4 linked regions of the Rhinolophus ferrumequinum genome follow. The protein of the gene in region 2 interacts with the protein of the main gene of each other region in a pairwise test. Links are inferred from orthologs where the notes say so. Each region holds a gene or a part of one and is shown on either strand. Other genes may lie near its edges.

Region 1 (7,691 bases), on a different chromosome or scaffold from region 2:
GTACTGCAAACCCATATTGTCATCAAGCATTTTTTTCCCATGTTATTTTAGGAGAACCTGTTTGCTTTGAATGACAGGTCTCTTTTGTTTCAGGATAGAATCCAATTGGATAGGAGGACCGGGTGGGTAGGTTGCTGGTGGGTGGGGATCATTTGGAGATCACGCTCCCATACCTATGAAAGGATCCACAAGCTTTGCCAAGCTTAAAACCAGGAGCAGATCATCATTGCACAAAACACGTCCCTAATCAGGGCTGGGTCATTCAGCCTTCCCTCCCCCCCTTTCTTGTCTGAAATGGCTTCCCCACAGGACATTTTAAAATAATTCTTAATTGCAGGGTAGCCAAGTGGAGTATGTCTGTTGCTGGCATGTGAATACTGGCTGGACTTGTGCAATGTAGTAATTGCTAAAGTTGGCATCTGCTACATAGGGGGCCGGTTGGTAATAGCAAGTGACATTGGCCACATTAGGGATGACATTTTGGTCAGCTAGCACCCGGATAGCCAGCATTGTGATAAGGTTTAAAGTCTGTCTTCTTTCATGTCCCATCAGGCACACTGTACTCTCATTTACCACTCCATGAAGGGTCATGAGATAGTCATACTTGCGGTCTTCCAACCCCACGAAGTGGTTCTGTAAATAGGACTCCAGTTTTCTCTGCTGTTCTCCAATGTCTGAGAAGTCGATGAAAAACCTGGAACACATATACCTCTGAAGGGTCTTGATCTCATCAGAGGCAGGCCTAAAGCCCCTCACTAAGAGGTTGCAGTACTTAAGCAAGCCTCCCCCTCTGATTTCCTCTGGGTTCCTGGTGGCAATGATCTTGTTACAAAGGTGATCAAAGGCTTCGTGGAAATCACCATAGACGCTCTCACCGATTATCGTGGGGTGAAATGTTTCAGTCATTGGGTTCTCTGAACATTCGTAAAAGAGGAGAAGAGAGTCTAATTTGATTTGAAAAGAATCTACACTAAATTCAAACTGCCTCCGGAGGGAATCCACAAATTTCAGTTCCACATTTTTGCCACTGTTGTTTGACAGGGATATAAGACTCCAGCGGTCAGAGTCATTGCACACTTTAACCATTTTCTGCACATAAGCTTCCTACAATTCAAAAGATAAAACAAGAAGATAAGCATACCTAGAAAAGATCATAAATAAATACGTCTTCACAGATGAGATTCATTTTGCTCCTTCCCTTTTGTTTTGTCAAGTTTCAGCAAAACACTACCTACAGGCTTAAATAGTCTTCCGAAAACAGAAAAAAAAATACATTTAACGAGTGGTTTTACAGTCTGGGAAGGAGACTAGAAGTAATAATTTGAGGCTTTTGGCAGATGTAGCACAGGACTGAGAGGTTCTGTTGTCTTGTCTGACTTTTGAAGTGTTATTTTTTGAAAATGGTCTTACAGGTACAACATTCACACAATATCCACACAATAATCAAAAGACAGAAGAGGATACAGTGAAAAGTTAGTCTGCCTCTCATCCTTGTCTCTAGTCACCCAGTTCTTCTCCCCCTGAGGCAACAGATGTGATCAGTATCTTGTCTGTCCTTCTAGGGGTACTCAGCAGTTACAATCAAAATGAACTATATTAGGACATTCTGGGAGGCTGATTCCTCAGACAATTTTAACTAAACATATAAAACGCGCTTTGAACCAAAGTAGGGAGGGGGGACCCACTATACCTTAACAAATGAACCAACCCGGAGAAGCACCACATTTATCCTAAACACACAGAGTCAGCTAAATGCAGCTAGGAAACCTATTCACATTTTCCAATACAATAAGCTCACTGACTTGGTTCTGCTTCAGGCTGCTATTTTCTCAAAGGCTACATCATAAAATGACTCAAAAAATGATTTACATCATTTCATTCTTCCACTTAGAATCTACTCTGAACAAGGCTCAAGCAAGGAAAGCCAAGAGTTAAAAAATAAGGAGAAGGAAGAGGAGGGAGGGCAGAGGAGGAAGCAGAAGAATTGTGGCGCTGAAGCACCAAGTCAAGTACAACGCTCAACACTGTTCCACGCACCTTACTTGACTCATTTTTCTTTTTTAAATCAAAAGCAAAGTAAATAAGCGCGCCCAAAGCTGTCACGGCCGCAGATCTGTGGCATCAAACACAAGTCCCTCTGAAAACCCCTTTCCCTCGGCCCGCCGCACCCCAGCCCAGCCCGGGTGCGGACCCCAGCCCAAGTCGGGGGGCTTTACCTTGAGCGTGAGTGGTGTGATCTTCTCTTTGTTCACCCCTTCGGGTAAGAAGTCCAACAGGCAGTCCAGCACGACGTCCTTCACAGTCTGAAACTCCTCTTCCCCGCGCAGGTCGGCGCAGAAGATGAGGTCCAGGTCCTTGTAGCCCAGGCCGCTGTCCTGGTGCAGGACATGGCTGGCGGCCGAGCCGTTGAGGCGCACGTCGCGGACGCCGATGCACTTCTCCGCCAGCCGTCGCCGCACCACCTTCACGATCAGGCTCGGCTGCAGCTCGAGCGTGGGGAAGTTGCCGCGCCCGTGGATCGGGATGATCTCGCTCAGGATGCCGTCCAGCCGCTGCACTTGCTCCCAGTTCAGCACGTTGCAGTGCGCCGTGGAGCTTTCGCAATAGTCCAAGCAATGCCCGCCGAAACCGCCGCTGACGACGACTTCGCCGCCGCTAAAGTCGCCGCCCAGGGGGATGTAGGGGCCGCCGGCCAGCTCGTCCTCGACCATGGCAAAGTACCCCTCGCCTTCCGCCATGAAGTGCCCGCCGAATGCCACTTGGCCCTGGTCGGTCCTAAAAGAAGAAAGGAAAAAAAAAAAAGAGGGGAGAAGAAGCTAGGTGAGGACGCCTGGCTGCGAACAGGAGCCCGTAGAGGAAAGAGCGCGCCCCCTCCCCGGTTCGCTCCCTGACCGACTTGGGGACTGACTCCTCTGAGACTCTTCCTCCCCAGCCCCTCCTGTCCCCAGCCGCGCGCACCGCGCCCCGCAGAGCAGCCCCGCACCAAAAGTATCTCTGATGCATCTGGAAAGCGCAAGCGGGAGTCCCGTCTGTGTCACCTGGAGACGGCCGCCCCTTCTAGGAGCGCAGCGAGCGAGGAACCGCGAAGGGGCAACACTTCCAGGAGCTGCGACTGCGCTCCAGGCAGCGGCGAGCGACTTAGTCCTTCCCAGACCCCAGCCGCCTGAGCTGGCCACTCCCGCCTCTCGCCCCCGCCCGCGCTGCTGCCGTCTCAGCTGCGGTGGTCCTAGAGGTGGCGGCTCCTACTACTGTTGCCGCCGCCGCACACGCTCCGGTCTCTGGAGCTTTAGCACTTATGCGAGGGAAACGTCTTCAGTACTTTTTTTATACCGGGCCTCTCCGCGCTTCCGGGGCCCTGGCGCAGCGCGTTCGCCACACCCTCCTCATCTGCATAGGGCGCCGCCCCTGCCCGCCGGCGGACGGAGCGCGGAGCTGCCCGCGCGCTGAGCCCCCGGGGCCCAGCCAAGCGGTTTTCAGAGCCCCAGGCCAGTGGCAGTACTTGTGCGCGTATATTACGTGCGTGTATTTATACATATATCTCTCTTACATACAGCCCCCTCGCCCATGCGTGTTTTTTTTTCCCCAACGGAGGAGACAAAAATGTCTCACGGGTCCTAAGTGGTCCTCAAAACTGGAACATAACTAAAACCTCGCAACTACAGAAACTTCCCAAACATAAAATTCTCGCCAGATGTGGTGGGTTCTTACAGATGATGGGGCTCCAGAGGTTCTTCACGACTTCCCTGTTAAACACCATGTACTGTATAGCTAGACGGTTTACTTCATTAATAAACCCGGTCTCTGGGTGAATTCATGAGTCCACTTGTCCATTCAAAGCGGTCGCTGCGCCTGAGAGGAGGGGCTCGCGCCTTGGGTTTCGATTCTGGAAACGTCGGGAAGCGCCTGGAAGCTCAGGGCGAGCTTGAGGAGACGCGAGGGCGGGGCCGCGAGCGTGGGTCCGACTTCTGCGCACGAGCGGCTCCGGGAGGCCGGAACAGAGCCCTGGCCGGCGCGCGTCACTGAGCGGACTCCCGGGCGGCTGTGGCGGCCGGGTGGCCACCGGCCAAAGGCCGAGGCCGGGGGCGGGCCCAGAGCGCCCGGCGCGGGTAGCGCGCGGCCTTTGGGGCGCGCAAAGGGCTCCTGCGCGGAGCCCGACACTTCGCAGCGCGACTGTTACTGAGAACCGCAGGAGGCAAAGCGCGGTAGGAATACCGCGCTGAGGTTTGCCTTTTTCAAGTGAAAACAAATGTCAGTGGGAATGAGCTAGTTTGCTAGTCACGGTGCGTGTTTACAGGATAAAAGAGTTTCTCCCCGAGCTTCGGCGGTGCGAAAGGAGTGTAAAGATTATCCCCACCCGTACTCGCACCACCATCTTTGCTAGAAAGCTCGCCCTCTGCCCACCCTTTCTTCTGGCCGCTCGCTGCCTTTCCCGAACTAGGAGGAACTTTCTTCTACGTAGAGGGTCCGTGAGGCTAAGGTGGGGTGGAAGGGGAGAGCGCCGGGAAGCTGGAAACTTCCTCGCGTGGCCCTGCGCCACCCCAGCCGCCCAGCCTGGAAGGGAGAACAGACCGCCCCCTCTAAACTGGGGGAGCCCGGGCCTGGTCACCAAAGCTGCGCGCCTGGTGGGGTCCGGGGAGGGGACGGTCACCCGCGGAACATCCAGCAGTGTGACAACGCCGCCCCCTGCCGGTGCCCTGCAGAGCTGTGTCCCAAAGCAGAGAAACCGGCGGGACCTTAGAAGGTAGCCATTACCCTTCAGCAATGTGGGCGATCTGGAAACGGCGGAAGCCAAGAGAAACCACACAGTTCTCATAGGCCATCGCCTCTCCAAAAGCACACACGTATTCCCGTCCAACCATCTACGCTTAAATCCATTCATTCTATCCAGGCATTCAGCAAAATTACATATATGTGTATCTATGGTTTGACCACCTATGACCTGCCAGGCACCAGGCTGAGTGCTGAGGATTTAAGAATGACTATGTTTCACAGAATCTCGTGGGCATGACAGGCAAGTCCATAATTATGGTTCAACTGTATATGTGTCATGAGAGAAGGAGTGGTGGGCTAACTAGGATTGGGGGAACTGGGAGAGAAGACCAGAAGAGAGAGAGAGGTTATTTGGGTAGAATCTTGAAAAGTGAACTTTCCTTGGATAGCTGAGGAAGGAGAAAGGCATTATCAACCAAGGGAAGAGTATAAGAGAATTCGAGAATGTTTGAAGATGTATAAACCACCACGGTAAAAAATGAGATCAGTAGTGCATTTGGATAAGGTTTGTGGGAGTTCGAGGAATTTATTGAGCACTTCTAGGCCATACTCTGCTTAGCTCTTTAGACATAAAACCGTATTTACTCTTCAAGGAGAAGGTAATCTATGGCATAGGGATTTGAAAATAGAAGAACCTAGACGTGAAGCGATTCGCCCAAGTTTCATGGCTAATAAGTGCTGGAGTCAGGCCTTAAACCCAACTCGTTTGGCTGTGAGTGCTGTGTAGCCATCATTTTCAGGAATGGGATGTCTGTTACCAGTACCTTCTCACTGGAAGGCAAGACAAGTACAAATAGCAAACAGATTTGAAAGAAAAAGAGGAGGCCTGTTAAAAATGTTTCTTTCAAAGGCCAATATAAATTCTGCCCCTTAAAACAAGGCCAAAGAGGTAGATCATATATTAGGTACACTGAGCTGAAAAAATAAAGTTTAACCCCACTACCACTATTTTGTACTTGATTTTAACTCTTCGTCAAAAAAAAACAAAACAAAAAAAAACAGAAGAGTCAGCTAGTGAGCACCGATGCTTCATGTACGCTCAGGATTTTGTTCTGTGGGGCTAAAGAAATCATTTTAGCAAGTTGCGCATGTGATCCTGACACAAGGGCTCAACCATATTTTGCACTATACTGATGAGAGCCACTGCAGTTCTCTAGGTTGGGACCCTCTCTCAAAGAGAGGCTGCTCTTCTCTGCCGGGCTGCTCTTAGGGACCCTCCCAGGAATGGAGCACATAGCTGAGAGGCTGAAGTAGCACATGAGGCACACATGGAGGGCCTGCTATTCGTCAGACCCTGTTGTGGGGAAAAGATAAGTTCTAGCAGCAGTGGGGCAAGACCCTCCTCCCAAGCTACCAGAGCTTGTGACTGACACTTCCTTAACCCTTTAGCAAAGCATTCCCTACTCCCCAACCAGGATCTCCCCTCACAGCATCCTTCAAAATCTCCATAATCCAGAACCTACCAACTCTTGCACTAGGACATCTGGGTTATCTTACTCTTGGCAGTGCCTTGATGCTTTGACTGGATTCATGTGTGCACGATTCATAGTGGCCACTCAATAAAATTGTTGAATGAAAGCATCTGTTATTCTTTGTCCTTCTTCTCCCTGTCTTCAAACTGACATATTTACATTCTGGAGGAAAAAAATGTTCATCCTTACATGAAATTGCAAATTTTGCAATTTTAAGCATTTAGTTTTCTTCTAGCTAACCAAAATAATTATCACATGAGAAAGCTTATACTTTCCAAACACATTCACAGCCAAGAAATTGCTCAGCACAGATTAAATTTAGGTGCAGACTTGCATTTTTTCCCCCCGGCTTTAGCTTCTGAACCTATTTGGTAAATAATTTACTTTTCCCTATTTAAAAGGGGAAAAAAAATCTATGGCAGTATGATGCTATGAGTCTCTACCTGAAATTCTTAAAAGGAAACTTTACATACATTTTTGAGAATTTAAAAAAACACTTATAATTACTTGATTTTGATTTAAAACGTATAGTAACAATCCAATCAGTCCAGACTTAGCACAATAAGAAATTCAATTTTAGCCTTTAAATTGGTTACCATTATTTAGTTTGTTATGATGTGCCAGGCTCAGTATTTTATATACATTATTTCTTTTCAACTTTCTTCAAATATCAGAGCTTTACATGTTACATTCCCATTGTCCAGATAAGGAAAATAAGGCAGAGAAAGGTTAAGTAACCTACAGAAGGAAAAGAGCCTTGATTTAGAGCACGTGGCTGCCCTCCTAGTCCCTTTTTCATTCTTGAGTCTGTCTTCTCACTTTCCTTTTACACTTAAAACTGAACTGGAACTGCACCCTGCTCCTTTTTTTTCCAGGTTCTGAATGTTCAGATCGGACACAACATTGAAGACCAAGGTGTTTTATCCTGAAACAACCATTGAGGGCCAGAATGCACAGTAAGCTAACTGGGTTTATGGGAGTTTCTTCCCTAGCCATGAACGATCTGTCTCTAAAATAGTAGAGAGCTAGGAAGCTACCAGCCTTACAGAGAGCTTCCAAGAAACCCCACTGACGCTGAAGGAGTGTGAGGCTTGGAGACTGCCCCAAGTGCATTTAACGGTGGCACTACCTTTCCCATTTTGCTTTGTCTGCTTCCTATCTTCTCAAAAATGGTTTTAGAAGATAAGGAAGCAAATATGAAATGATTCCCCCAAGCTCATACCCAGAAGGAGAGAAAAAGAGAAGTGCATAGAAAACTGCTGTTAGTAACCCTTATTTTACTTAATAGTGGCCCCTAAACGCAAGAGTACTGATACTGGCAATTCAAATATGCCAAAGAGAAGACGTATGTACAGGAAAAAACAGTATATAGGGTTCATTACTATCTGTGGTTTTAGATATCTGCTAGGAGTCTTGGAACATATCCCCCGTGGATAAGGGGAGACTACT
Region 2 (7,391 bases):
TGTCTTACTCATGTTTATATTCTCAGGGCCTAGTTATTATAGATGCACAATAAATGTTGGTAAATAATAAATACATAAAATCATAAAGGCTGTTGGTAAGTAAATAACAAATACATTAAATGCAACTTGAGAATGAAGACATAGTCTCTATTCATAAGTCTCTTATTTAAATATCCACTTATTAACACTGTCTAGTAACTTTGAAAAACCTTTTATTAAACTGTAAAGAACATGCTGTTGGATCTCTAACCTCTGATTTCTCTCTTCTCTGAACTTCTCTCTTCTCTCTCTTCAATGGATAATTGTAACAATCAAATGTCCCAGCGCTATGAAAGCACAAGTCAGTTCCACAACTGTTTTGAGGCTTGCCTTTCTTTCCCATGTCTTATCTACCTGGCAGGAGTGTTTAAAGATGGAATACCGAAGGCTATGAAAGGTATAAAATGCTACATAGATATAATTGACACATACGTCCTCACCACAGTAAACATTAAGGACAAACCCTTAAAATTACCGTGAAAGTAAACATGGTGAAAAGTGCATTCTTTCACCAAGACATTTGAGTCCAAATGAAACAAACTTACCTGACATAGTGTTGGGTTAATTGACCTCAACGTTTTAAAGAGATAAACAGGAGTTACTCTTAGAGTTGCATTATTCTATATTGTATCTTTATTTTTTCCCAATTTTACTGAGAAATAATTGATACACACCGCCCTGTAAGTTTAAGGCACACAGCACGATGGTTTGACTTACATATATTGTTAAATGATTATGTTATTTTTATTTTTGACTGGAGAAAAGCTAAGGCATGTTTTCCAAGTATGACTTTTGAAGTCTACTTTCTTTTAGGAATTCAAGCCTAAAACTCTAAATAAGTACATCTCCATTCTATTTAACTGCCAATCTGTTCACTATTTATTTGTTATAACCTGGTAAGCTGTTTGTGTTTGCTTGTTTTTGTTTTGTTTTGAACTATACAAAAGGCTACTTCCAATGAAAACAAATACTACAATTTAAAACCCCTTACGATTGGGCTGCCTGTACACTTGTTTTATTAAGTACTCTTTTGCTCCCTCTGCTGCCATGAAGAAAACCTTCACGTTCAAGACCCCAGCACTTTCCTCACAGTGTTCTCTTGGCAACGATGATGCAGATTTGTGTATACATCAGAGCTCTTCAAAAATGCAGTACTATTTGACCAAAGCATAGAATGTAATAATTACTCATTAAAAAGTGCAAATTAATAAAAGAGGGAGTAAATAAAAAAGGAATAAATAGGAGAATTAAGTTCTGCATCTGTGGCCAAATTCATATAGACAGAGCCCTGTAGTATAGAATAGAATTTTTCACACTTGAATGTGCTTAGGAATCACCCAGGGGCTGGTTACAAGGCAGATTCTGATTCAGTAGGTCTGGGGTGGAGCTCTCATTCTGAATGTCTAGAAAACTCCCAGATGCTGCTGCTGCTATTCTGAAGACTACGTTTTTCGACACAAGACATAATGATATAATATATTCTTGATAGCCCGTTTTAAACCTTCAAAAATAGATACTACCAAAAACAGTGAAATAGATATAAGGGATGAAAATGATTTTCCATCGTGTTTAAGCAATACAGAACACAAATTAGGAGTAAGGCTCAGCAGGCCTTATTTCTCAATTTCCTTTAATTTCAAAGTTTGACTTATGCTGTACAAATATAGTATCAGGTTTATGAATAGGACCACAGTACTACATATTTGCCTACTGGCTCCTTGAAAGCTCTGCTCTCCTTTCATTGAGTTTTTATTTGCATAAAGAGTCATTTTTAAAGAATTAGTACCAGTTATTTGTGATTGTACATTTACTATTTTGTCATCTGAAAATAAGACATTTCAGTGCTAAAGGTAAAGAAAGTATATCATGAGTATTATGTTTATGTTGGTTGGACCTTGCAGGAAGAAATAGTTACAGATTTTAATAGCAGTTTATGGCTTTAATCTTAATGGCTAAGAAAGTAAATGACACATTTGTTATTATTCTTACTTTTTGGGTAATATACATTTTAGCTTCCTTGAGAGAATATTTAAATTAATTGACTAACCTGAATCATGTGTTTTAATTTGATTAAGTTTGTTAAAATAACTTAAATTTAACTGTTTGTGTCAATGTAATATTAAAATATTAGCTCTTTTTTTACTGAAAATTCTCTAAATGTAAGATGTCTAAAAATAGAGTCGAGGTGGATTGGACAGTCTGCAGATTAGGAGCTGGAATAAAAACATCTCAGTTAAGCCAAAAACATGGCAACCAATATTTTCTGTTATAAAAATATTTTAGATGAGTTCAGTTTTTATGAAAGCTGTCTGAAACTGAAATGAATAGCAGAAGCTCTCTGTTTATTCACAGGCCAGTAATAATAATACCTGCAGCACAAAGCATACGTCTTTTCCTGCAGACCCAACAGCTTCTGCTCCTTTTAGAAGCCGGCTCTGCCGGGGGAAGAGATTATTACCCGGTTATGTCTGAGGTATTAACCTTCACCTTGGTAATGCTTGTCAAGGAACACAACACCAGGCAGAGCCTTTTTAGGAAACTGATTTTAACTGTCCACTAGAGGCTGTAATGAGACCAACAATGTCATTTTACACCAACCCAGTGTTTAAACTGTAACAATCACTGATTTTTAAATAAAAAAAAATAAAAAAAGAAGTTGTAGAAATGAGTAAGAGTGAACTGTAGTAGTTCTATTTAAATAACCATGTATATGTACATGGTATTTCAAAATGTGAGAAAGAAGTTATTTCCGGGGCTCTACACCTTCCTAGTTAGTATGCTTATTTTTTATTTCTGTAGCACGTTGACTCTACAATACAGTTGTTCAAAAGCTGACACATTTCTCTTGGTGATTCTGTATCCTGCTTCGGCTGGTGACTAACCGTTAGGTCATAAGTAAACTTAGCCAAAAGGTTTCTCAAATACAGCTTACAGTCAATAGTGGTGGCTTCCAGAGAGAAACTTACGTAGAGGGATCATGTTTCTAGACACTTGGTTCTAAGCACCTGAAGGAGGTCAAACGCTGCCCGGACACCTACTGGTCTTCCAGAATTACCTGCAGCCAGGGGAACGCCGCAGTGAGCTCCCTTTCGCAGGGATGTGCCTTCTCTTCCTCCAGGTGCCACACCTGTTGGCAAGGTGCACCCTTCGAAAGAAGATTCCTTCCCGTCGAGCTAACACCTGGCGGTGATACGTGCGATGTGTGTGGCGCGCGCAGGGGTCCGGGGGCGAGGGGGAGGAGCGGTGTGGTGGGGTAAGAACCGCACTTAAAAATTGAGTCCAGAGTAAATTCTTCAGCCTGGAATCACGAGAACTGCCATTTGATGCTCGGTTTGCTTTCTCTATCTCCTACACTGGTTACCTCATTTCCGATTAAATTAATGATCCCGAATTAGCTGCGAGAGGAGTGCGCAGGTCGTCTACCAAGGCTAGAGCTGGGTAGAGGGCAGGGAGGTCACCGGCTGTCCCAGGCAGTAAAGGTTAGGGGCACGTGCAGTCCGGGGGGGGGGTCCCTTAAAACTTTCCAGAGTTGCACGCAAAGGCACTCCCCGTGCCCCGGTGGTCTGGGTTCCCGAACGCCGAAGCTAAACCGGTTTGAGGATTAACGTGAATGATGATCGCAGTCAGCCCTCTTGGACGCTTTTCGGCGCGCCCGGAACCAAGGGCACGTAGCAATCAGAACTGGTTCGTCTCCCCTCCCCCTGGGGTATTTCATTGGCTCTGAGCCGGAGAATCCTCCAGGGTGCCTGAGTTGCACTCCGTTGTCGTTCTGTCCCCTCCAACTAGGTGCAGGGACCCAGGGAAGGGAGCGAGGACCCACCAGTCACCGCTACAATTACCTCATCGCCTCACTTCCCCGCCCCTTTCCCAAACCTGGAAGAACTGTCCCCTCTGACCCAAGTCTCCCTGCCCCCCTCCCCCCACCACCCACCCCCGATCCCGAGCCAGTCTTGGGGGGAAACGCTCCAGTCTCTCCGAGGGCCGCCGAGCCCGGGCCGCTCGCACCGAAGGATTAAGGGCGCGGGCCAGCCGCCCGCCGTGCGCTCGCCGGGCTCCGAGAGGCTCGCCCCGCCGCCCGCCGGAGGGTGTCCCCCCTCCTATCACCCCCCCCCCGTCGGATCCTTGAGCTGCGGCGGCGGCAGCCAACTGCTCCATATTTGGCTTCTATTACACATTTACATACTGGAGCGAGCGAGCGAGCGAGCGAGCGCGAGAGAGCGCGAGGGAGGGAGGAAGGGCGGAGGGAGGAGGGAGGGAGGGGAGGAGAGCGGGGGGAGGAGGAGGAGGAGAGAGCAGAGTATACCGCAGACATCATTTCTACTACAGTGGCGGAGCCGTACAGGACCTGTTTCACTGCAGGGGGATTCAAAACAAGCCCCGTGGAGCAGCAGCCAGAGCTACAGCAGCCGCAAGACACTGTTTCTCTCCCTCTGCCCCCCCTTCCCCACGCCACCCCAGATCCATTTACACTTTACAGTAAGTGGCGATTTTTTTTCTCCTCTGATTCTGTCTCTCCCCCTCCCCCATCCCCTTCTCCCCTGATTTAGATTAAGATGCCCCCCGTTCTCCTGAGAGGGGCCAAAGCAACAACCAGCAAACAAACCCCAAACCCCAATCGGCGGCACCGAAAACAGCTGGAAGAGGAGCGAAGGAAACCGACGCGGCGTGTTGTGGTGGTGGTGGGGTGTGTGTGTGTGTGTGTGTGTGTGTACACACAACCTTCCTCGGCTCCAGCCTCCCGAAGCGACACCCTGCTCAGGGTGCACGGACCGCCAGCAGGGGGGCTGTTGGGGGCCGGGTGGGCGCCCGCCGGGTGAGGGGGCGCGCCCGGGCTGGGGGCGCGGGCCGGGAGAGTGGCGGTGGCGGCGCCTCGCTCGGGCGGCTGCTAGTCCCGCTCGCGAGTGTGGAGAGCTGTGTCCTTATCCCTGGAGGTGGCATAAGGGAGGCGACAGCGGCCAGGGGTCGCGCTGCCCACTCCTGTCGCCGCCCCCTCTTCACCCTTCTACCCAAAGAGGGCGGCGAGAGCAAGCGGGTCTGGACGAGGCTGGGCTGTCCCGCCGGTGGCCGCCTGGCCTCGGAGTCCCACGGCCGGGGTCTACCCACCGAGGCCGGCCTTTCCCGGCGTGCGGCTGCGGAGCCAGGACTCTGCGCGCGGCCCGGCGCAGGCTGTGGGAGCGCGGGGGGCGCGGAGGGGTGGGCGCTGGGTCGCGGGCGTGCGGGTGCCGGGAGCGCGGCCGGAGTGGTGGCGGCGGCCCTGGCTCCGCTACCACCGCCGCCCTGTTGGTACGGCCGCTTCCTGATCCTGTGGCCGCCGCCGGGAGCCGGGAGCCCGCGAGCGCCCCAGCCCGGTCCGGCACCCCCGCCCGCACCCGCGGCGGGAGGAAAGGAGCGGCAGCAGGCGCTGCCCTGTGGGCGCCAGGAGTGAACCGCCGCGCGACTGCTGGGAGGGTGAATGAAGCCAGGAGCAGGGGAAGGAGGAGGCGCTGCGGCTATTGGGATGCGCCCCGGAGCTCCGCTGCTCGTTCACTCCTGGCCGGGCCGGAGACGCTGCCACTCCCGCGGCCGCCGCCGCCGCCTCCTACGTGGTCCCAGCGCAGCGCGCAGGCCAGCCCCGCAGGGGGCAGGGAAGGGGCCGGACGGGCGGAGCGAGAGGTGAGGCGGTGGCGGAGCGCGGCGGGAGTGTGAGTGAGTGAGCGTGCGTCTGTGTGCGCGCGCGGGGCGGGGGCGGGGGGGTCGTCCACAGGGGCCGTCGCGATGGGGAGAGGGCCCGCTGAGGCCACTTGGCTGACTGCAGCGCCTGACCCCTCCTCAGCCCCCCGCCCGCAGGCCGCCTTCCCAAACTCCATGGCTTGTGCTTTCATTTTATTTCAGACCACGTAGGGGGCTGACTGGAAGCAATGAAACAATCCAGGTTTTCTAGGGAGATTAGCAAGAACCTTGGTGGGGGTGGGGGGGGTGGAAGTAGGGTGGTGGTGGAGCTCCTGCCAGAAAACAAAAAAATCCCTTCCTAAGGACTGTGAGGTTCGGTTTAGTCCCGTGGAGGCTCTGTTTTGTTTTGCTTTCTTAGTATATAATCCTACAGATAAGAGGGTAATATAAATACTTCGGAAGATTGGGAATTGCTGAAGAGTGAGTAGTAAGGGCGGAAAAAAAAAAAGCCAGTCGGAAGCTGGTTATATAATGCGCGATGTGGCTAACGAGAACGGCAAGCTATTTTTATTTTGTTAACCGTATGCTGTGCAGTAGGGACTCCTCCAAACTGGTTCTGTACCCGAAGAGATTCTTAGCTTCCCTGTGAGATCCACAGGATACAATGAGCCAAATTAGAAGACCCCATTTACACCCACAGCCTTGGAGTGGCATACTCCCTGCACATTCTGTCGTGCATGCACGGGAATGCGTGTATGCAAATAAGTTCTCCTTTGGCAATCTAGTAGTCACAGCTCGATGACATTTGTGTTTTATAATGCAGGCTGTTCTTAATATTTAAACATCATCCTTACATATCGCACACAGCAGTTACTTGATGGTTATTTTTAGGCTCAGCTAGTTACTTTTCAACATTATTAGCTAAGCCAGTTCTGTTTGGGTTTCTGAGGAGCCCTGGAGTTCCTAGAAGCCCCTGTTAAGCCCACCTTGTGGTTTATTTGGTGGGTGAAGATTGTTTGATTGTTGAGCTTTTGTTTGAAACGAAGCTTATGCCTAGGGAAACCACCAGAGAGGAGGACAAGAAAATCCTGCATATAAACTCTTGGAGAGGGATTGCACCATAACTGCTAAGGCTGTGGCATTTAATCTCCTCTGGCTGCCCTCTAACTGTACATGCATCAGTCAGTATTTTAGCAGCTCCACAGACAAATGGGCTGCTACTTAAAGCAGAGGTTGAAGTCTCCCCTGAACCTCCTGCCTCCCTGTCTTTCTCCTCTTCTAGGTACGGTCAGTGGTGTAGGTTTTCAGTGCACTTACTCCAGCCCCGATCACTCATGTAATTAGATCAGGCTGCCATGGCAACAGACACTGTTCCTTGTCCATTCAGGTGGGTTTGTTTTGTGCTTGGACTACTCCAAGTGTTTTATGCACAGTATTTGTGCTGCCCAAGCCAGACGAGAGACTTCACTATTTCAATTGCGTCTTCTTTCAGTCATTTGGACGGGAGACACTGAATGAGGCTTCTCGCTACTCTTATAAAGGAGACCAACAAGCTGTTCTTACTGGGTGCAGTATGTAAATGTCTCTCCCCAGACAGTGAAAGGAGCCTGACAATCCTGCTGGTGTTTATTGTGAACAGATCAACAAGTATTTGGTACTTGTTAGAAACCTTTCAGAGCTGACTAAAGCAACATTTCTTTTGC
Region 3 (7,485 bases), on a different chromosome or scaffold from region 2:
ACTCCTTTCCAGATCAGAAGATAAGCAAAGATAAAAGATGAGGCTAATCCTATTGTTTTGATACAAGATTCAATCAGTTTTGGACAAAGTGCAATATACTATAATCAACATTTCAGTAGTTATATGATTAAGTCTTACCTTGGCAGTACAAAGCTTTTAAATAAAATTAGAATTAGAATTAAAAAGATTTCTCTGAACTTCTTTTTCTTTGCGTCTTCCTTTCTTGGATAAAGCATTTTCCACACAGATGGGAATGTTATGGTGTATTAAAATACAGTTCTCTCCTATTACTTGTAGTTATTTTAAGTATGGAAAAAGGAGAATGTCAAGCATTTAAAAAACTTGACATATACAAAGCTTTTAAGTCACCCAAGGGTACCTATAAAATTACTGCAGTCTCAAACATCTCTATGAAAGTATCATGAATTTTGTATTGTGGTAAAATATACATAACACAATATTTAACATTTTAACAATTTAAGTGCACAGTTCAGTGGCATTAAGTACATTCACTTTCTTGTACAAGGATCATCACCATCCCTTCGTGATCTTCTCAAACCGAAATTCTGTACCCATGAAACAATAACTCCCCATATGCATTTATTTAAAATCGAAAAACTTGGAAAAAATCTTTTTTTTTTTTTTTTTTAAAGCCTCCAGTTACCCCAAAGGTCCAATTGCCTTTCGAGAACTGAGCCCTCTTACCTTCTTGGAAGCCTCAGGATGCAGGATTTGCCTGACATGAAGCTGCCCATCAGTACAGAGACAGAAAGAGGTTCCTACCCCAATATTTAGTTCATTGCTCACTGACTGGTTAAACTGAAAAGAAAAAGACACAAGAATGTAATTGATGCAGGATTTACAATTTGCAAAGTGGCCCCAGTTGGTCGTGACAATCAGAGAAAAAAAATGCACTAACTACAGTGAAGAGGGACACTGGCATTGGGGACATTAGAAAAATTTGGTTCCCACAAACTGTCTAGCTTCCTTTAGACAGAGCTTTCCAATCAACCAGCAGTTTTGCACAGAATTCAGTAAATGTATTCTTTTTTCCTTCCGTCCGCACCCCTTTCTATTTTTTTTTTTTGCGAAAAATCCAAGACTTTAAAATCAGAGATCTTGTTTCATCAGCAGATTGCCTTCGGATTACATCATTCCCTGCTGTTACTTTTTTTTTATGGTTGAATGTTCTAGGCTTAAAATGCCAGTTGGGCAATGTGGGTAATGGTTATGGAAAGTCTGGTAACACGTTTCCTTGAAACACACCTCAGAAATGATCACTTTCCACTATAATTCGCAACACATATGCTAGGGCAGGCAGGGGCCAGGAGGGCGCCGGACACTCTCTGGTGCACAGGTGTTTAGCGCCCTGCCCTAACTCGATCCAGTACCCGTCAGCACCTCAAAGCAGCCAGTTTTTAGGTCACTCGTTTCCACAAGTGGATTCCACCACTTTCACGGTGACCCAACAAGCAGCCCTGCATGTCACGCGGCCTGCAAACCTTCCCCCGCGTTAGGACCAAGGCCACTAAAAATAATGGAACCGGAACCCAGCATTTGGGAGTTCAGAATCCTGAAACCAAACAGAGGCTGCCTCTAGAACTTGGCGCGAGGCCGGCCGCTCTACACCACAGCGCCTCCTGCCCCAGGGCTGAGCCGCAGACCGAAACCCCCGAAGAGAACAGGCGCGCCTGGCATCTGGGCCGGTGGATGAGCGAGGTAGTATTCAAACTCCGCTCATCAGGCGATTGGTAAAACCCAGCTGATTCTCTGACCCAGGGAATGACTCAGGAAACAACTAGAAAACTAGCGAATTTTGGCCCAAGGTCTTGGGGTTTGAGAACAGAGAGAAACAGCGACCTCCTCCCAAAGATCCGACCCCGACCTGCAGGCGGGGTTTCCACCCAAGCCGCCCGGCGACTCGCCACCAAGCACCGGGGACGCGCATGGACCACCAGCCGAGGGCGTGGGGCCTGGTAGGCCTGGGTCCGCTGGCGGGTGTGGGGGTGGGTTCGGGGGTGACGCCTGGGCCGCTAGGCTGGGGGTGGGCGGCACGGCCCAGGGCCGTCACCTGTCGGAGAGCTTGGTCCAGCTGCGGCGCGGAGGACAGGCTTTCGGTGTCGATCTTAGTTTCTTCTTTACACTCCTCCGTCAGCTCCAGCTGATCCGGTCTAACTAGTACTTCGTGCAACTGTCCCACCTCCGGGGGAAAGAAGCAGGAGTCAGTTTCCCCCTTCCTCAATTTAAGAGCCTCCCCACCCCAACCCTACTCCTTTGCTCCCTTGCTGGGGCGGTCCGCGCCTCGGGAGGGGTCTGGCCGCAGAATCAAAGCTCACTGGTCGCCAGAGGCTCCGGAAGCCGAAAGGTCGGTGCGGCCCAGCCCCCGACCCCACCCCCACCAGGATCGGGTCGGAAAGGCTCAGGAAGCCGGCACAGGGGGCCCGGGGGATTCCACCCGGGTTCCGCAGGGCGTCCCCGACGGGCAGAGAACCTGACTTGGCGGCGACAGGCCTCTCCACCTGAGCCAGATTTTGGAGGGCTGAAATGGCTCCAAGGCGGAGGGCCAGCAAGTTTGGTTTTACTCTGGATTCTCTAGGCCCCAGGTCCCGCCTCACAAGTGGGAAAACAAGAGCACTTGTTGATTGACCTCCCCCCGCAAATTTCTATACAACAAACTTCTTGCCCCACCCCTATCATTTGGACAGAAACGTGGAGAAATACCTTCTTGTTGGCCAGATCCACGACTTTCCATAACAGCAGGATAAGCTCCTTCTCATCCGAGCCCAGCTTGGCCCCAGTGGCCCCAGCAGTGATTCCAAAAAGCACCACCAAGTAATCCGGAGACGCCGTCATGGTGATGGGTGGGGAGGGGGAAATAGGGGTTCGGGAGGCGGTGAGGGAGGGTGTAAATGAGAACAAGAAAACCTGTCCTAAAACCTCTCCTAAGAGAAAAAGAAAGAGCGCCCACCCCCCCTCCTCCTCCACCTCCTCGCCGCCGCCTGTGCAAAAGGCGGTAACCAGCCACCCAAGCCCACACCTGGCCGGTACTCCACACCCAGGGCAGGATAGGGGTGGGAAGGAGGGCGCAGGAGACCTGCCCTTTTTGTATCCAATTGCCGGTGCGTCTATGAAAAAAGCCTGGAGCAGGGCTGCACCCCCGGGAGGCGCGCGCAATGGCTGAAAGCTTTTCTGTTTGGGGCTGTGGCTCTACCTGCCCGCCCCTTCTACCCCTCCCCCACGTGGTGCAGGTAAGAGACACCTGGCGGCGCCGGCCCATTGGCTCCTTCAAACCACTACGTGGCAGCGGTGGAGGAGGAGGCAGCCTAGGGAAACGGGAGGAGGGGGCGGGAGACAATGGCTGGATGAATGGAGAGGGGAGGGCGAGAGGGAGGAGGGGGAGACGCGCAGACGGTTTCCACCCTGAGGGTAGACGAGGCCAGAAGGGAAAAGGGTGAAGGGTGAAAGGCGCGGGGGAAGGGGAGGAGTCGGGGTCACACCTTTTGGGAGGTATTCGAGAGGTGTGGGGGCTTGGAGAAATGCCGGCTGTGGGGAACGAATGCGGAGGTTCTAAAGTGACAAGCGAAAAGGCCTGGCGTGGGGAGGTGAAAGGAGACCAGAGGGGAGGCCCGAAGTGCGGAACTGCCCAGAGCGCCGCGCCGGGAGAGGCATATCGCGGCGGGAGGGACCGCCAACGGCAGCCGGGAGGTGGCAGGGGCAATTGCCAAGCACCGGAAAGCCGCTCCCGAGCCCAACACACCTGTAAGTGCAAACAGCAGGCCCTGCGGGCTGTTCCCTTCGGCCCGGAGCCCGGGCGCACGCTCCAACCCCGAGGCACTGCCCACCTTCGGGAGTGAAACCCTCGCGCGCGGCAGAGCCAGGCTCCCGGGGCTGGACGTTCAGTCATAAGTCACGCTCAAAGCAGTTGGTTGGCGCAAAGCAGGAGGAGGTACCCCGGGAGGAAATTCAGGTGCTTGGAGCCCTCTCCCTTTTCTCTCAATGACTCCCTTAAATGCTACGTCTTATTTGGTCCTGGCTGCCTGTTCGAGACTGGAATCTCCTCCAGGGCAGGGGCCCACTTCCTTTGATTTGCCCTGGACCCAAAATAAGACAGCTACCCGGCGTACCGAAAGTTTTTGTAAATCAGGCCAGAGCCAGCTTTTCCTCAGTTGCCACTGACCCCACACTCTCTACTCCTACATTTGCCTCTGTAATTGTGTCGATTTGGCCAATGTTCCGAAGCAGTCTCCCTACTCTAGCTCGGGTTAGGTCTGCCCAGAGGCTATGCAGTCCACCACTTCCCCTTAGCCAAGTTGGACGGCTCTGTAGTGAGTCCTGTTGACATTTTAGAGAGCAAAGCGGTAGCAGTGGTTTCCTCGAGTTTCATATTTCAAACTGATCTAGTCTTGGGAACACAATTTCGTCTGAAGTATTATTAATTCGGCTCCAGGTGTCCAGCCCTTTATATTCATGAGATATCACGCAACCGTACCCCTATCGCTACAGTAACCTACTCTGGGTATAAACCCGAGAACCTTTCAGGACGCATGTAAGGGGAAGCTGGCGATTGAGCTTTCCCGACGGGGAGGAAGCCCGGCCGGAGTGGGGAAGGGGCTGAGGCTCTGGGTGGGGGGCAGTGTTTGGGGAGCATGAGGCCCGCGCCGCCGCGTTTCCTGGCTGCTGGGATTGCGCGCGGCGAAGCTGCCTCCCGCTGCGCAGGTAGCAGCTAGCGTCCTGGGGGTGCGGACGGAGGCCGGGCTATGCCCGGGGCAGGCAGCCCTGTAAGGGCCAGCGAGGGTGATCTGTACCACCCTCGTTTGCAGTTAGGTTTCCAGCGGCGCGTGCTTCTCCCTCCTGGACTGCAGGATGCGGGGTAGGAAAGAGCCCCCGCAATCCACAGCTGGTTCGCAGCGGCGGCTTCGCCCCGCCTTGTCCCGGTATCTCCAAGCCACCCTCCGGGGCCCGCAGGCGTCACGGGGGCAGGGACTAGGCTCCGAGAGAGGCAGGGAGGGACCTGGAAAAACCACCCAGATTGCATTGCAGTGGGAGAGGCCTCCTGGAGGAGCCGGTTTCCCTGAGCCACCTTCGCTCGGGGCTTTCTCGGTGCGCGGTTCCCAGGTGCTCTGCCCAGCCAGGGCCGGAAGGTGCAGGTCCCGGTGCAGGGCGCTGTTGGGGTGCACCCGAACGCGTGCGGCGCGGTCCGGAGGTCCAACGCCGGACAACCACTGTGTCTGAGAAAGTGGTTAGAAAGCTTAGGAAGTCCTGCTGCGCCCATCCTTTCAGGCCTTTGGTGTTCGGATTAGTCATTTGTATAGCGCGTTTAGAGAAACTGAGAACATGATTTTCAACGCGTTTGCCAGGGATTCCGCAGAGTTATTCATATTAGAATCGAATCTCAGGGCTGCCCCTTTTCACAGACTTTCCTTCCTGTTTAAGGAAGTCAGATCTTTGGTTTCTGATTGTTTTTCACTTAAATTTTAATTTGCCCAACTAGGTTACAAGGACAAGAATTTTGTTCCTTTCTCGAAGGTATTCCCAGGGCTTGGAATAAAGCTTGACATATACTACATACTCAACAAATATTTGTTGAGTGATTATAATGAGTAACACCCACCCATTGTTGCAGCTGTTTGTCTCCTGAGCTAGGGCATAGCTTATTACCTCGAACGTGAGATTCTGAAAATGGGAGTCTACAGGTAATTTAAGTCTCAAATGTTTAAAAAGAGTAGGTGCTAATTCTTTGACAGACAAACCTACTTTTGTTAAAGAAATTCAACTCTTGTAAAATGCAGAGGTGCCAAGAAAAACTATGCGGTACAAGCAGCTTAGTTCTGAATACAAAAATGTTTTATGTCCATCCCATCATCTATAAGTAATTCTAATATAGTAAGAATAATCAGTATGAGGTGGGTGTGAGGAATCTTGAAAAGAGAGGCTCATTCTACCCGTTGTCTTTAATGGAGACGATCCTTAAAACTCCCAAAAACAAATGAAATCTTTTTTTTTTTTTCAAAGCAACAGAGACCCAAATTGAGGGATAGGCTGCAAAATAAGTGGCCTGTATTCTTAAAACCATGAAGGTCATGAAAAACAAAAACTGAAGAACCATTCCAGATTAAAGGAATTTATGAGACATGACAACTACACATGGCAACATGGATCCTGGATCAGAAAAACTTTGCTTTTTTTTTTAAGGACATTGGGACAATAGGAAAACATTGCATAAGGTCTGAAGGTCTGTAGATTAAATAATAGTATTGTATCAGTGTTAATTTCCTGATTTTTGTAATATGCCTGTGTTTCAGCAGGAGAATGTCCTTTGTTTTAGGAAGTACCAGTATTTAGGGATAAGGGGAATCATGTGTATAGCACTCAAATGATTCTGACAAAATATACATACATACATACATACAAGATAAAGCAAATGTGGTAAAATGTTAATATTGAGGAATCTGAGTAAAGGAATTCTTTATATTATTCGTTGCAACTTTTAAAAGTTTTGGAAAAGTATCAGATAACTTTTTGCTGTCACCACCATTCTGTTGTTTAACAAGGCTCTGTCTCATGACTTGTTAATGCTAACCTAATCCTTCATACTGCAGAATGAATCCATTTTCTTTGTCTTTTCCTTAGTGAAAGGAGGAGAAAGAAAAGGTCACCATTTTCTGTATAACAATCCTTTCAGATACTTTAAGGTTGTCCTTAAATAACTTTCCTAGACTAAATTACTGCAAACTCTTTAAAACTTTCATCCTTAAACTTACTTTCCTACTCTTTGTCTTCATTACTCTCCTTGCACCCTTTTCCTCTTATCTGTTTTAGAGAGTAGCTCTTAAAATGGATGGAATTCAACTGCTGTGACCTGACCATTGACACAGTGATAACTATATGTCATGTTTACTACTTTCAGTGCAGTTCCCTTTTTATAACTATGGTAGCAGCACTACAACTTGCTGACTCCAGTTTTGTTTGAGATCTCTGGATCTTTATTGGAGTTTTCAATTGCACATACCTCATTGTTCTCTTGTACCTGTAAGAAACGAGCCTTCAAAAGTGAATCAAAGTATGAAAATATTCTCAAATTAGATAGTGGTGATGGTTGCACAAATGTGAAATATTAAAAACCACTGAATTGCACACTTTAAAAGTGTAGAGATTACAGTATGTAAATTATATCTCAGTTCCTCCACCCCTTCTTCTGCCTCACCCCTCACTCCGGTTCAAGCCATTGTTTCTCAGTCTAGTGTAAGACACAGCTCCCTGGCCCATGCTGGTACTGTGAGCCTTGCGCTCCCCACCCTGGCTGAGGCAGTCTGTCGCCAGTGGTCTGTCGGCTCACAGCAGCTCGCCGAGCTCCGGCTGTTCACACTCACTGGCCCTTGTGGGAATTGAATAGGCGACTTCGGTGTTAGCAGCACTGCGCTCCAACCACCTGACCACAGGGCCGGCCCTATATCAGTTTTTTAAAAAGCAAATCACAGTAAAAGC
Region 4 (7,817 bases), on a different chromosome or scaffold from region 2:
GCCAGCGCTTAGAGTTCTTCCCTCACCTCTAGATTCCCACGTGGGCCTCTCCGGGTTCTCCATGATTCCCCGGTAGTGCGAGCCCACCAGTACGGAGTAGGGCGTGCGCATGCGTGGAACAGGAGCTTGTCAATCTGGACTAGGGGGTGAGATCCGTCGTTCCGCGGCCCCCCGAATTAAAATTATCCTAGGCTGGTATCTTCTCTTAACCCTTCCTTTAAAACTATAATTAATAAGCACTAGTTGTTAGTGAATAGTTGTTAAATTTTAAAATTTGGGTCCATTCTGATCATTTTAAAAAATGGGGTGGGGGAGGATAGGTGAGGCATTTTTTAATACTTTTCTACTGTGCTTTGTAAAACATCGTTTGAAAGCACGTGAGATGTCTGGTGGAGAGACCAAAGGCTAGCATCATGTATATAAATGCTTGAAAGATTTTACGTTAAAAACATGAGCAAAATAACTTGTTGGTTGTCTCAGGAATGGAATCACAGGTTAATTTGTATTTTCGCTCTATTTTCTACGTATGTTAATTTTTGTAATTTAAAAAAGTGTTTAAAAAAGAGGAGTTCCACTTTAGTGGGACACTGGGGCCAATCTTTTACGAACAACTCTTATCTAAAGATATGCGACCAAGAAGCTTTAAAAAATTTAGTGAGTTTCAAAGTCCTAATTAACACTGTAATATTTATTGTAAAATTAGTCTTTCTTATAAGTATTTTATATAAATCATGACATATCCAAGACAATAAATCAATAAGCATGCTTTCTAGATGATTTGCTGGCGCTTTCTTTGTCACATGCATTTACCATCATAATTTAGGAAGGGATGAAAGCCCTTTCCAATTGAGTTATGAAAAGTCCTGTTGAGAAAGATAGGAACATAATAGTACAGAATAGCTAGGGCAGCAGCACTTACATGGTGTCAGGCTGTTTTAAGTACTTCTCATATATAAAATCAAAGATGTAGAGTGCCAGAAGGGGTCTAGGCTCTGAATATAATTTGCTGTGTGATCTTCCGGAAGTCCATTAGTAATTTTCTGATAGTCCTTAATCTGAGTACAAGATAGCACAACTGTGAAACTGTTCATATCCTATTTTCTTGGAACTAAGAATTACCCTTGGAGCAAAACAAACAAACAAAACTGAGTAGGAAAAAGCCCATTTAGAGAAGTACAGGACAGTTGAGTTGTGATTTCAACTTTCTGAGAAGTGGCTGCTCTCAAATTTTCTAGGTTTTTAATATTTTCATTTGCTTCTTTACTGTTCTTGGACTGCTAATTTCCCAACTGACTGAATATTTGAGTTCCCTTAGGCCAAACTTGGAACCAACAATTTGAACCTAAACCAAGATCTTACAAATATTTAGTAAGCAACTAGAATAAATCATTTCTCTTACTCTCTCAAGGGGTTTCCCATACTGGTATTTGAAAGTTGTTAGTTGCAAAAAGGGGCACTTAGAATTCCAAATTATTCCTGCTAAGGAGAATAACATTCAAAAGCTATAATGAAACAAGTGTTTGCAAGGATCTAGCTTTTGCATGGCCTCTTTTAGTATATTATTACCTTTATTCCTAGGTAATAATTGTCTTCTCCTTTCACAAGGACAAATTGAGACTCTGAAAGGTAAGTTGAGAACAAAGTTCTACAAGACATTAAAAGAGCTGGTGCAAGAATACATCCTAACTTGGATAGACCAGAGGGCCCAGGAAATTAGCTCCAAGCCAGGCCAATATCATGATAGTGAATTGCCTTGAGCAGATTTCACATGTGGCTTGTGGTAATTTTAAAGTATGCTCACAAATTCTTTTAACACTCCTCCCATATAAAGGTGTAGTCTAAGTCCCCTCCTCTTGAATATAGGCCAAACTTAGTGACTCCTATGTAAAGAACAGAATGTGGCATGTGGCAGAACAGAGGGACTTCGAGGCTAGGTTAGAAAGTGCAACAATTGACTGACTCTCTTATTCTCTCTGGACACTTGCCTTCGGAATCCAGCCACTATGTTGTGAGGAAGATCAGGCCATAGAGAGGCCCTGTGTAAGTGTTTCAACAGCTCCAGTGTTCCCAACTGACAGCCACCATCAACCACCAAACATGTAAGTGAGCCATTAGATGATCCTAGCCCTCAGCCTTCCACTGCTCTAGATGATGCTGAATGGAGAAGAGACCAGCTGTCCCAGTTAGAACCAGCCCAATTGCAGATTTGGGTGCAAAATAAATGTTGAGTTAAGCCACTGAGTTTTGGGGTGATTTTATACACAGCAGTAGATAACCAGAACAGTGTTTTTAATATGTTATGTCTAATTCCCACTACAAGCTTAGAAAGTAGATACTGCTATCCATTTTTTGACATGGAGTAAACAGGTCCAGAAAAGTGAAATGACTGGCTCAGGTTTGACACCAAGTGGCAGAGATTAGGATTTAAGAGCTTCAAAGAACAGGCATCTCCATTACTCCATAATGGCAAGGAGATTAGACCATTTCTTCAGCATTAGGAAGAACCTGGATTCCAAAAGCAATTTGGTTTTAATAATAACCACCACCATTGTTTGCTCACCTACAACATGTCTCTGTATAGGCTTAAAAAAAATATCCAGCAGCTTTATGGAGGTTGTATAGGGCTTTTTTTTTTTTAATATACCATTAAGGCTTTGACATTTTTTTTTAGATTTTTTTTTATTATTATTATTGGGGAAGGGGAACAGGACTTTATTGGGGGAACAGTGTGTACTTCCAGGACTTTTTTCCAAGTCAAGTTGTTTGTCCTTTCAATCTTAGTTGTGGAGGGTGCTGTTCAGCTTCAAGTTGTCCTTTCAGTCTTAATTGTGAGGGGCACAGCTCACCTCCAGGTCCAGTTGCCGTTTTCTAGTTGCAGGGGGCACAGCCCACCATCCCTTGCGGGAGTCCAATCAGTAACCTTGTGCTTGAGAGGACGCATTCCAGTCCAACCAACTGAGCCATCATCAGGGAGCTCAGTGGCAGCTCAGCTCAAGATGCCGTGTTCAATTTTAGTTGCAAGGTGCTGCCCACCATCCCTTGCGGGACTCGAGGAATTGAACCGGCAACCTTGTGGTTGAGAGCCTGCGCTCCAACCAACTGAGCCATCCGGGAGGCAGCTCAGCTCAAGGTGCCGTGTTCAATCTTAGTTGCAGGGGGCAGAGCCCACCATCCCTTGCGGGACTCGAGGAATTGAACTGGCAACCTTGTGGTTGAGAGCCCACTGGCCCACGTGGGAATCGAACCGGCAGCCTTTGGAGTTCAGAGCATGGAGCTCCAACTGCCTGAGCCACTGGGCCGACCCTGTGTAAGGCTTTTTACCCACCTTTTCTCATTTAATCTTGACAATAGCCCTCTGAGTGGGTTATCATCTTCCTAATTTTACTGATGAGAAAATCAGGGCTAAAAATAAAGGGCCTAATTCTCCACGGCCTATAGGGTAGAGCTGGGATGCAAACTCCTCCAATTTGCAAATGTTTCCCTCTACCTCTTGCCTGCAGAGAACAGATCATTTGTAAGAAACACTTTTTATTCAGTATTATAGAGGAAAAGAAAAACGTTTTCATAATTCTTTTCTCTGTTGTCAAAACTCCAGGAAGGACTAAGTGATAACTCACTGCCCAATCTGATTTCACAAGAAAGTGAAGCTAAAGAAAGTAGTCTCCTTCAAAGAAATGTAGACTTCGATACCCTTTAGCAAGAAAAGCTATGATTCCTTCCACACCTCTGTATCATTTTACACAAACCCTGGGCGGTCCCACTGGGCAAACGAGCTGGTGATAATCCTGCAGAACAGGCTCACAGGTGATCTCGGTCAAACCTTTCCTGACGGCTCCTCTCCCCCCAGCCCCCCTACGCACAGCAGTTACTCTCATTGCTCACAGAGTAGGGATTTAACATTTGCGTTTCTGTGTCCCTGTCAGCCAGAGTCTCGGCACTGGGTACGAAGTGCTTGACGTTCGTTCGCCATCTCATTTTCACCCACACACTTGCACTTTCCCTTCCCATGCAGACTTCTGGTTATGGGCGGCAGGGAACATTTCAATACATTTGTCGCCCTTAGCTCAATCAAAAGCAATCGTGGCAAGTTTGCCTACTAAGGCATCAACGCGTGATCTCGTTTATTCCTCACAGACTTATACAGAGAGACCATTTTAGAAAGGATAAGAGCTAAACTCAGAGATGTCACCAAAATTATACCACTAGTAAAAGAGCTGAGGTTCGAGCCCACACCCGGAAGGCTCAAAAGCCCCCAGGTTCGCCTAACTCATTCGCACTGGTTAGCCCCTGGGTTCGCCGCCAGCTCGAACTGTGCAAACGCAGCCGTCGACACGCTCCCAAGTCGGGCCAAGCCGCGGACCCCGACCCACTTCCCTGCTGCCACCTCCTTCCCAAAAGGAAAGCCTGGCGCGGGCCCCAAGCACAGCCCATCCCGTTCCGCCCCGCCCCGAAGCGCGCGTGGGAACGCGGCATCCTCCCCGGGGCTGCCCACGACGACCGCCTGCGCGCACCAGGGAGGGCTTCCGCCGCCCTCGACCCGGGCTCCTCGCCTCCGCCGCCACCGCCTCCCAGCCACCGCCTTCCCGCTACCGAGCGCACACAGGGGCCAGCGCCCGGGAAGCGCGTCGCGATGTTTCTCTTTTCCGTCCGGCATTGCCGCGGCCACCTCACATCCGGGCGAAGGCGGTGCTGGGGCCCGGGTGCGTGGAGGGAGTTATTAAGGAGGAGGGGGCCAGGGAGGAGGGGCGGAGGGCTGGGCCGCGGTTACGGCGGCTGAAGAGAGACAGCCGGAGCGGTTAGGGGGGCGAGCGTGAAGGCCTCGCGGAGTAGCCCTCGGACCGGCGCGGACGGTGGGGAGGGGAGCGACGGCCGTGGCGAAAGACCGCCAAGCGGCGGAGGCACCGAGTAAGGGGCTGGCTGCGGCGGCGGGGTCTGGGACGCCGCGCGCCAGGGCCCGCAGGGAGAGAAGGGGCGCGGGCGCGCTGCTCCCGGGGTCGCGTGCCTGAGCGCGAGCGCCGGGGCGCGCGCGGGGGGCGGGCAGGGACGCCAGGCCAGCGGGGTGGCGGGCGGGCAGCGGGCTGGCGGGGCCCGAGCCGCCGGAGCGGACGGCGGCGGGCCTGCGCCGGCTCCTGCGCTTAGCGCCCGGGCCGGGGGATTCGGCCTCCCGCTCCCTCCGGCCCGCCTCCCCTCGTGAGTAGCATCCCCGCCCTTCCTCGGAAGGAAGGCGCTGGGTAGGGGCCTGCGCGAGAGGCCGGGGGTTGGGGTCGCGGCCCGGGAAAGCTGAGTTTCGGCGTTCGCTCCTTCCTTGCCACGGGCGCCCCTGACATGGCCACAGGTGCGGCCGGCTGGGCGAGGGGCGCTCGGGCTCCGTCCCCAGACCCTGGCCCCTGGATAACAAGGGGCAGCTGGCGCCGTCCATTGGCAAGTGACAGGCACTGTATTACAGCCCGACTTACCGGATCCCCAGCCCCAACGAGTTTCCCATCTGCCCCCACTCCGGGAAACTTCCCCTCTACTCCCTGAACGGTCCCTATGGGTGGCAACGACTAATCTTGATATCCTTTTGTAGTAAAGCTGCTTAAAGGCTCTCTACCCTAATTTGGGCACCTTCCACTTCTTTCCTTACGTTTTTGATGCTTAGAGCACTTTATTTACTAGAAGAGATAACTACCAGTGGTTTTATTTCCAATTGGGTTCTGGTTTATAGCGTAATTGTAAGGGTTTTTTTTTTTTTTTTAAAGGTAGTCATTTTAAGAGAGAGTTTCAGTTTCTTAAACAGTTAAGACTTCTGAAAAATTATTGTTCTCCGTGACAGTTTTGTGCTGATTTATCTTCCAGGTGCAAAGAATTGTAGACCAAGGAGCCATGGATAGGAGAAGTGTGGGCGAAACAGAAAATGGAGATGCTTTCCTTGACTTGAAGAAGCAGCCGGCCTCGAAATCCCCCCATCGCTATACAAAAGTAGGCTTTGTTACTACTGAAATAGTGTTTCTTTATAAAGGTGGGGAGGTTAGTAACATTGTGTAGGTATTTCATTAGTATTATCTAAAGTGTAGTCTCATTCTGACTTACTAAATGGACTAAATATTAACTAGATTTAGTAAAGCATGGCTTTGAACTTTTTCTTCTAAGTCTGAATACCGAGTTTAAACTAGAATTTGCTTCTAAGTAGTTTTCAGGTGAAGGGAATATCTGCTCAGCTCCCATATGAATTTGTGGACCAGTGTATGTTGGCACACAAATTCTGTAATAGCTGTGTGTGTCTGGTATGTTGTTGACTTACATGCTATAGAGTAAGGATTCCAGCTCTGAGATGGCTCACAAAACCAGTGTCCTCTGTATTGATGTTTCTTTAAGAGGTGAACACCCCAAAGGAATACTCTTTGGTGCATTCTAGGTGCTTGACTGGAGTAACCAGATTTTTTAATTCTGTTTTTTACTTCCAGTTATAAATTAGATGTGGATTCACAAAAGTAAGACTTCAATTATATTTCCCCTAGCTAAAAACCTGTGATTTAGAACTGCTCGGTCTAGATACTTGCTTTTTCCAGGGAGTTGCAAATCACCTCAAGGTCGTATATTTATTGAAGCTATTGTTCCAGTATCTTGTTGACTGTTGAATGTTTCTGAAGAGGTTTGCAGGACTCAGCTGTGAATTCATTCTGGTTCCCTGAAATGTATTGGGCTGGAATACATAAAATGTGCTTGGGACAGTTGACAGGAAGGGTTATGTCCTAGGTGGGCCCATATCTGTCTTTTTTTTAGTATGGAACCAATCAAGGACTCTGGTGTAGTTATTGTCCCTAGTTTCCCAGCATACTGATGGGTTAATATTTTAAAGTCAGGCTTTGTCTGAGTACTGGTACCACTACTCTCACCTACTTGATAAAGTTACTCTTACCTACTTGATAAAGTATCAAATGATGTCAGTAATACTCATTTTCAGCATTAAAAAAAAACTCTCTAGAAGAAAAAGTGTTTTCAGGTGTAAAAGAGTTCTTGGTTAATTGCTGTCTTAACACAATCTGTTTTGGCATCACAGTGAGTTGATAGAAAGCACTTTAGTACTTCATTCATATTTGGTCTTCCCAAATGTAGTTCCCCTCAAACCTGAGAGTGCTTGAGTATTTCACAACTTAAATTCATCACCTGAAATGTTGACAGGTGAATTCTGAATGGAGAAATGCTTATTAAATGAAGGAAAACTGATTTGAACTGCTTTTGTGATTTCAACTCAGCCGGCACCTTTTGAATAAAAGTTCTAACTGGTATTCTCTTTGTAGAGTCCTGGCAGAGAGGCTTTTGAATCACTTTCACACACTGATCTGAAGGTGGCATGTATATATCATACTTAATGTATATCCATCTTTATGCTTAAGTAATTTTTAGAAAGATATTATTGGTCTCTGTTAGGGTAGAACTTATGTATGTCTACAATAAAGATGAAGAATCTCAGTATTGCCCATTTTTGACAGTCCAGCCTCAGAATTCTGCCGTATTTAGATAAATGTGCTTAAAATGGTTAAGAAAGGCGTTTTTTAAGTTAATGACAGCAGACCTTAGATTTAATGGTCTTCACTAACAAATTTAGTTGGAAATAGGTTTACTTTCCGCCCCATTCAACAGAATTTAGTTAATGGCTGGTTTAAGATTGTGTTCAAACAATGTTAGGGTAGTGCTTTCGTATGTATGTTTCTCTACTTTAGTAATTTTATGTGAGACCCTTTCAACTTTTTCTTATCTTCATCAGGGATCTTTGTTCACCAGTTCTCGAGGTGTAATACCTGCTTTTCTATTAGTGATACTATCTTCTGTTT

The links.
Region 1: the proteins of ATXN1 (region 2) and TENT5A interact in binary tests that used the Homo sapiens proteins (3 or more experiments, as listed by UniProt). The link is inferred for Rhinolophus ferrumequinum from reciprocal best matches to the Homo sapiens genes ATXN1 and TENT5A.
Region 3: the proteins of ATXN1 (region 2) and ESRP1 interact in binary tests that used the Homo sapiens proteins (3 or more experiments, as listed by UniProt). The link is inferred for Rhinolophus ferrumequinum from reciprocal best matches to the Homo sapiens genes ATXN1 and ESRP1.
Region 4: the proteins of ATXN1 (region 2) and EIF4ENIF1 interact in binary tests that used the Homo sapiens proteins (3 or more experiments, as listed by UniProt). The link is inferred for Rhinolophus ferrumequinum from reciprocal best matches to the Homo sapiens genes ATXN1 and EIF4ENIF1.

Annotation. Positions count from the first base shown.
Region 1 is NC_046286.1:40,706,135-40,713,825, forward strand, and holds the start of TENT5A (terminal nucleotidyltransferase 5A), read right to left. Parts: upstream 3,277-7,691; 5' UTR 3,004-3,276; coding exon 2,984-3,003; intron 2,776-2,983; coding exon 2,217-2,775; intron 1,105-2,216; coding exon 328-1,104; 3' UTR 1-327.
Region 2 is NC_046292.1:78,029,112-78,036,502, forward strand, and holds the start of ATXN1 (ataxin-1), read left to right. Parts: upstream 1-4,317; 5' UTR 4,318-4,515; intron 4,516-5,481; exon of another isoform or gene 5,482-5,691; intron 5,692-5,711; exon of another isoform or gene 5,712-5,724; intron 5,725-7,391. UniProt on the Homo sapiens protein: Chromatin-binding factor that repress Notch signaling in the absence of Notch intracellular domain by acting as a CBF1 corepressor. Binds to the HEY promoter and might assist, along with NCOR2, RBPJ-mediated repression. Binds RNA in vitro.
Region 3 is NC_046297.1:35,970,750-35,978,234, reverse strand, and holds the start of ESRP1 (epithelial splicing regulatory protein 1), read right to left. Parts: upstream 3,172-7,485; 5' UTR 2,854-3,171; coding exon 2,722-2,853; intron 2,201-2,721; coding exon 2,072-2,200; intron 820-2,071; coding exon 706-819; intron 1-705. UniProt on the Homo sapiens protein: mRNA splicing factor that regulates the formation of epithelial cell-specific isoforms. Specifically regulates the expression of FGFR2-IIIb, an epithelial cell-specific isoform of FGFR2.
Region 4 is NC_046308.1:20,406,956-20,414,772, reverse strand, and holds the start of EIF4ENIF1 (eukaryotic translation initiation factor 4E transporter), read left to right. Parts: upstream 1-4,757; 5' UTR 4,758-4,905; intron 4,906-5,064; exon of another isoform or gene 5,065-5,190; intron 5,191-5,214; exon of another isoform or gene 5,215-5,335; intron 5,336-5,838; 5' UTR 5,839-5,865; coding exon 5,866-5,961; intron 5,962-7,817. UniProt on the Homo sapiens protein: EIF4E-binding protein that regulates translation and stability of mRNAs in processing bodies (P-bodies). Plays a key role in P-bodies to coordinate the storage of translationally inactive mRNAs in the cytoplasm and prevent their degradation.